Linked DNA regions of Xenopus tropicalis. The protein of the gene in region 1 purifies or fractionates together with the protein of each later gene. This does not show direct contact. Links are inferred from orthologs where the notes say so. Each region holds a gene or a part of one and is shown on either strand. Other genes may lie near its edges.

Region 1 (3,656 bases):
CAGAAAAGTAAATACAGCCATAAGCACTCACAGAAACGCTGCACTCAGTCCTCTATCAAAAGATTTGTTGTCTCCGTTTTCCTGTGCCAGAGACATGCAGCTCTCTACTCTCTTCTGCTCCCCACTCCCTCAAGAATGCTAAGAACTCACTCCCCCCTCTGAGCCAATCAACAGGAAGCTGACTCATAGTCTAACAAACTGAGCATGTTCACCAGTCTGTGTCTTGGTGCAGGAGTGAGGCATTATGGGAACTTTCTTTACACAGCTCAGCGTTTTTTTTTCCCATGAGGCTTCTGATCATCTGAATGGGAGAAATATGGGGAGACTTAAGGGCACTATTGAGAGAACTGAAGGTATGCCTGCAGCTTGAGATTAACTCTTTATTAGCCTTTCCTTCTCCTTTAAGAATGACCAGTGTTCCTTCCCACCCCACCCCCCCACACCTTTTGCCTCTTCATTTCTTCCCCTTTACCCTCTCTATCCCTCTTTATAAACTCAGTTTCACCACTTTGTATGCACTGTATCATCCTTTTACTATTATGATGACTTTGCAGACATTCTACTCGATGGCTCTTGTACATGAAATGGCCCTTTCTCTTTTCTTCTCAATAAAATTGTAAGTTACAGAAGAAAAAAAAAAAATGAATGATGGCAACCATGAACCTTATTAGACAGTTGATTTCCACATTACCTGCTGTTGAAGGGGTCCTTTAAATCCTAAATTGTCCGCCATCCGCAACGCTTGGCTGTCTTTTATGCCTTCAAAGATGTCAATTTCCTCCTTTGAAGAGAGACATATTTAATGGAATATGAAACCATGACTATAATAAACAGGATTAATTCGATATGGAAAAACAATATTAATGAATGTATGGCAGTAGGGCAGCCTGCGCCAGATCGGAGCTAAACAGGCGCCCATAGGGTACCGAGTAATTGTATCAACATGCGCTGAAATAAGCATTTCCCCCACAAGCCAGTTCTTATCTCGGGCAGCCTGACAATACAATCTGACACTGCTGTTTCACTTTTAATTAGCGGGCAGATGGCACTAACAAACACTCAACTGCTAATTCTTGTATTTTTCATATGAATGATACCAGTGCATGTGGGATTATGTCCAGTTGATTTGCAGGGCTGCAGACCGAGGGGGGGGGGGGTCTCGGGGCATTTTTGGGAAGTTCAGGACCCCGAACTTTGGAAGAATCTATGCACAGATGGAGCCCGATATCCATAGAGACTGAAATCAATGATTAGATTAAACAATTAGCTTGTAGATACCAGAATAAGGGTTGTAGTTGATCAACTACAAGTTCCAGATTGGGACTCTACATTTAGGGGTAGAGCAAAATACATTAAAGTCTCACCCGTGTTCTATTCATTCCTATGGGATTTTTAGAAGTGTATTTAATCAATGGGTAACGGTAAGAACTCACCATTAGATAAATATGCTTCTAAAAATCCAATAGGAATAAATAGAACATGGGTGAGTTTATATGTACAGGTATAGGATCTGTTATCTTGAAAACCAGTTATCCAGAAAGTTCCGAATTATGTTAAGGCCAGCCCCCATACACTTCATTATAAGCAAATCATTTTAATTATTGAAAATGATTCCCTTTTCTCTGTAATAATAAAACAGTACCTGTACTTGATCCCAACTAAGATATAATTACCCCTTATTGGGGGCAGAACAGCCCTATTGGGTTTATTTCATGGTTAAATGATTCCCTTTTCTCTGTAATAATAAAACAGTACCTGTACTTGATCCCAACTAAGATATAATTACCCCTTATTGGGGGCAGAACAGCCCTATTGGGTTTATTTAATGGTTAAATGATTCCCTTTTCTCTGTAATAATAAAACAGTACCTGTACAAATTACAGACCCCTTATCTGGGAAACCCCAGGTCCCGAGCATTCTGGATAATAGGTCCCATGCCTGTATTAAGCTCTATACTCCCATTTTGATAAAGCTGTGCCTTAGAGTATCTAAAAAATAAGCACAAAGGCTTATAAATTACATGTGCCTTTACCAAAGCCAGTTTCTTTCCAGGGGCCCCTTTGGAGGCTAGGGGCCAGCACAAATGCCCTTTCCTTTTTTAAAGCCAGCCCTGTTTTTGTGAACAAATTGGAAATAATTCTGGGAAAATTCATAGAATTCATCATATCTGCGCTCTGCTTCACAGAAGTCTATGGCCTAATCGTGAGATGTATTGTACTTCACTCAATACCTTCAAAATGAAACGAGAAAAATGAGAGTGAATTATACGGCAAAAGGAACATTGCAAAAATAGAAAAATGCATTGCAGTCAAAGCAAGTGCGAATACAGAGTGTTCCTACACAGAAATACAATGTAAGGAACATGTCATGTTGGTGAACTTTCCACCGATGATTATTTGACAAGAGAAGTAGCCTAAAATGAGAATGAGAGGGCCTCCAACTGACAGATAAGGTTGCGGAACTTGCACATTGTCTGAATGATTCATCCTTCCCCATGAGTCTCATTGACCAACTGATGTTCTAAGAACTTTCAGGATATTACTGGTGACATCATAGGAACTCCCCTAAATTAGTTTGCCCAATTCCAGCCCTATAAAGCCACAAGAGCAGGTATATTAAAAACATTAACGGAGAACTAACGTTTTATGAAGTAGTAGGAACCAACAAATACACATTATGTTTTGGGCTTCTTTACTAGCTCAGGGCCACCATGGTGCTTTAGAAGTAAAGATATCTTCCTTTTGAAGACCCCGTAGTTTAGCTTCGCAACTGAAGTCCAAAGCACACTGAGCATGTGCGGTGCCCCTGACACTCTCAAGAGATGACTTAACAAGATCCAAGATGGGGAGCTCCAGTGCACAATTAAGAAGGCTTGGCTCATTCCTGTTATAGGGCTGTTGAACCTCTATTATGGCCCACTAAATTCTGTGTATAATTTCTAAACATATTAATTTTCACATTTAGTTGTCGTTTAAGCTACTGTCCTCGACCCCATCCCTAGGACAGACACAAAAATGCAGGCAGATTTCTCCCATACACGATAATTCAGCCTGATATCTCCTACTGTAATGGGATCACAATACAGTTTGATAGGTCCAAGGACTCATCAATGACTATACACTTCTGATGGGAAAAGACCAATTTTCCAGAATGTCAAACACCACATGTGGAAAGATTTGGGTATATTTTCTCTAAACACAATTAATCCAGGTAAAACGGCTAAATGTGCAAGTAGTCTTTAGTATAGTGCAGAGGAACTTCATTTCTGTGTAGGACAATCGGGAGCAACCTGTTCTCCAGTCTTTGGACTGAGCTCATTGGAATTGTATTTACCTTAAAAATAAGTTCCGGTGTTTTCTCTGCCACTTCTTCAATGTCCATTCCTCCTTGAGGACTCCCAACTAGAACAGGTCCATTGCAAGCTCGGTCCATCAATATAGCCAAGTAGGTTTCTCTTGAAATGTCCAGAGCCTCTGCAACCATTACCTAAATAAATATATGGAGAACACAAGCCTGTTAGCAAAGGCATACAACTATTTCAGAGAAAAAGGACAGAACTAGAGATTTTAGAGAATATTGTCATCTAGAATCTAAACTATTATTTCTACACAATTAAAAGAAATAAGGGATCTGCCACTTTGGGAAATACTGAAATG
Region 2 (3,656 bases), on another chromosome or scaffold:
ATAGGAATGAATACAATGTGGGTGAGTTTTTATGTACTAAGCTCTAAACTCAACATTCTGATAAATCTGCCCCCTAGCCTTAGCCTCACCATCCTAATGCCGCAGTTCTACCAATCACTGAGGGGTCTTTTACTTGCTGGACTCCAAGGCAATAACTAAGAAGCTTGCCATATTGGCATAAAGGGGTCTGGCCAATTGTATTATGTTACATGTATGTATTATGTAACACACAGAGACCCATAGACAACAGCTGAACCCGGGGGAAGGGGACCCCTATGAATTGTTGGATAGTGTGTGTGTTTGGGTTTAATCAGCTTTACAGGCTACATGTATAGTGCATAGTTATGCTGCTTGTATGTGCTATATATAGTAGCAGTGAGTACACTGCCAGCTTTAACCCTTTGCATTCAAGGTGACCCAGGCGACACAGTTGGGCCTATTTGACTGCTTATAGTGTAATGCAAGGCTTGTTGGAATCTATACTGTATCTCTCTGATGGAAGGTAGGACTAAATGTTAGAGCGAATAGAATATGTGAAGCCTAAACATTCTGGGTTAAAGTCACAGGGGTAAAATTCTCTTGGGAATGAAGCCGGTTCCTGAGCAGAGCTAGCCGCACACCCAGGGACATGGGAGGCAATTATTTACTTGTCTGACTCCAGCCTAAAACTATATACATTTGCTTGACTTGTTACCTGATCACAGGCCAAACAGGTGAACAAATGCAATAAAATTCATATAACCAGCTGTTCCTATTTTCATGTATGTAATGGAGAATGCAGGCTTACACAGGCAGAAGTTACGTTGATAAAAAGTTCTATTTTGTTTGAGCACTGCAAAGGTTAAGCTGAGCTCAGGAGAGGAGGTTAGAACAAAAAAAAGACAGCTGAGCAGAATTTCTATGTCTAGTATAGTCTAGTATCTCTTTTAGGTGCAGAAATACAGCAGAGTCCTGGCCTGTAGAGTCCCCCCCCCCCCTCCTATACTGAGGCATTCGCTTGGAGAGCAGTTGCTTTGTCTCCCCAGTGTAAAGGTCTGTGCACTCCTCGCTACACTGGGCTGCGTATACAACATTGCTTTGTTTTTCCTTTGGTGTTGGATCCTTTGGGGGTACAAGTTTTTGTCTCAGTGTGTTGCTGGGTTTGAAAAACACAGGGATGTGGTGTTTGTTGAAAATTCTCCTGAGTTTCTCCGACACTCCTGCTACATATGGGGGTGACTATATTGCGCCTTCTCTCTGTCTCAGGACGGTTATTCCTCTTGGGGTTCAAATGCCCCCAGTTTGTGTTCCAGCAGATGGTGGGAATCGAACAACAGATATTAATCCGTATGAGTGGGTTCCCTGTATACTTCTGTTGTCAAGTTACCCCCCTCTTGGATGGATATCAAACAGTCCAAAAAACAAGTCCAGTTGCTTTAGATTTATTTATACTAGAGATACCATGACCTGGATGAATAGTGAGAATTTCTATGGGAACCCGCAATCTCTTTATTGGCTGCTAGACTGGAGGGCGTGTTTAGTAATCTGAGCTGAGAAGAACTGAGCATGCTCAGAAGCCAACAGAGGAGGGGAAGGAACCAAGTGATTCAGGGGGTGCTGCGGCCTTACTATTAACCTTTAAACAACCAGAGTGGCAGGTTTAAGGATTACAAAGAGGCTGTTCCCTTCATGGGGTTTACATGTCCTTTAATGCATAACAATGCTGTATAACATAATAAAGTAGTATATACATACCTGCTTCCCAGTGAAGCCTTGGCAGATAACCCTCGTGTCCTTATCTATATACAGGTGCTTCCTGGAAGCTGTGTAGGAGCATTGCCGTACTCCATTCTGCTGTACTGAAAGGCAAAAGCACAGATTCCTTCTCAGCCAGGGCACCAATGCAGCACTATCACATCATTCCCCCGTGCTATCTGGTTGCTAGGGTCTTGTTTACCTAAGCAACCAGGCAGTGGTGTGAATGAGAGACCGGAATATGCATAGGAGAGGAACTGAATAGAAAGATAAGGAATACAAAGTAACAATAATAATAAAACAATTTTTTGTAATTATTTCATTTTTTGTTCAGCAGCTCTGCAGTTGGGAGTTTCAGCAGTTATTTGGTTGCTAGGGTCCAAATTACCTTAGCAACCAGGGAGTAATTTGAACGAGAGACTAATATATGAACAGAAGAGGGGCTGAATAGAAAAATAAGGAATAAAAAGTAACAATAATAACACTGTAGCCTCACAAAGCAATAGTTTTTTAGCTGCTGGGGTCAGTGACCCCCATTGGAAAGCTGGAAAGAAAATTCTAAAGAACAAATAATAAAGCATTTCTTTGAGGTGAAAGGGCAAGGAGGGAATGCTTCAGCCAAGGGCACCTTCAGCTAAAAACTGTGCAAAAAAAACAAAATTGTTTTGGCCCTGAGAGGTCACTCACACTCCCCAAGAGGTCACTCACACTCAGCCAAGGTTCACAGTATAATTACACAGGTACGGCCAAACAAGAAATTCAGCTGTAGGCGCTGAGAGGAATGAGAGCAGAGGGCACAGAGTATCCAGTAAACACCGGCTCTGTATAAAGCTACTGGCACAAAGGTCCAACCCGGGGGTTTATACACCCAACTGCCTGACGGAGCAACTTCTACTCGCCACACTGTTGCACTTTGTACGTCACTGGCGTTAGGGAACCGGGAAAGGTAACCATTAACCTCTGTGTCTGCAAAGGGCAAAGGGAAAGTAGCAGCGCAACACTATGCAAACGCCAGCAGCGCAGGGAAAGGCTACTCTACTGAGGCCCCATTGCAACCCTGACAAGTACAGGTATGGGAGCCGTTATCCGGAAACCCCATTATCCAGAAAGTTCCCAATTACAGAAAGGCTATCTCCCACAGACACAATTTTAAACAAATAATTCACATTTTTAAAAAGTATTGCAGGTATGGGAACTATTATCCAGAATGAACAGGACCTGGTGTTTTCCAGATAAGGGATCTTTTGTAATTTAGGTCTCCATAGCCTAAGTCTGCTGAAAATCATTTAAACATGAAATAAACCCAATAGGGCTGTTCTGCCCCCAATAAGGGGTAATTATATCTTAGTTGGGATCAAGTACAGGTACTGTTTTATTATTACAGAGAAAAGGGAATCATTTAACCATTAAATAAACCCAATAGGGCTGTTCTGCCCCCAATAAGGGGTAATTATATCTTAGTTGGGATCAAGTACAGGTACTGTTTTATTATTACAGAGAAAAGGGAATCATTTAACCATTAAATAAACCCAATAGGGCTGTTCTGCCCCCAATAAGGGGTAATTATATCTTAGTTGGGATCAAGTACAGGTACTGTTTTATTATTACAGAGAAAAGGGAATCATTTAACCATGAAATAAACCCAATAGGGCTGTTCTGCCCCAATAAGGGGTAATTATATCTTAGTTGGGATCAAGTACAGGTACTGTTTTATTATTACAGAGAAAAGGGAATCATTTAACCATGAAATAAACCCAATAGGGCTGTTCTGCCCCCAATAAGGGGTAATTATATCTTAGTTGGGATCAAGTACAGGTACTGTTTTATTATTACAGAGAAAAGGGAATCAATCCTTTTGGATTTAATTACTGTTTAAATTATTTTAAAGTAGACTTAAGGTATGGAAATCCAAATTATGGAAA

What was found.
Region 2: the proteins of suclg2 (region 1) and suclg1 fractionate together in Homo sapiens (co-fractionation; 6 studies listed by BioGRID and IntAct, counting the BioPlex papers as one, with this or other methods). This does not show direct contact. The link is inferred for Xenopus tropicalis from reciprocal best matches to the Homo sapiens genes SUCLG2 and SUCLG1.

Annotation. Positions count from the first base shown.
Region 1 is NC_030680.2:143,027,383-143,031,038, reverse strand, and holds part of suclg2 (succinate--CoA ligase [GDP-forming] subunit beta, mitochondrial), read right to left. Parts: intron 3,487-3,656; coding exon 3,334-3,486; intron 782-3,333; coding exon 692-781; intron 1-691. UniProt on the Homo sapiens protein: GTP-specific succinyl-CoA synthetase functions in the citric acid cycle (TCA), coupling the hydrolysis of succinyl-CoA to the synthesis of GTP and thus represents the only step of substrate-level phosphorylation in the TCA.
Region 2 is NC_030677.2:9,778,895-9,782,550, reverse strand, and holds part of suclg1 (succinate--CoA ligase [ADP/GDP-forming] subunit alpha, mitochondrial), read right to left. Parts: intron 1,839-3,656; coding exon 1,735-1,838; intron 1-1,734. UniProt on the Homo sapiens protein: Succinyl-CoA synthetase functions in the citric acid cycle (TCA), coupling the hydrolysis of succinyl-CoA to the synthesis of either ATP or GTP and thus represents the only step of substrate-level phosphorylation in the TCA.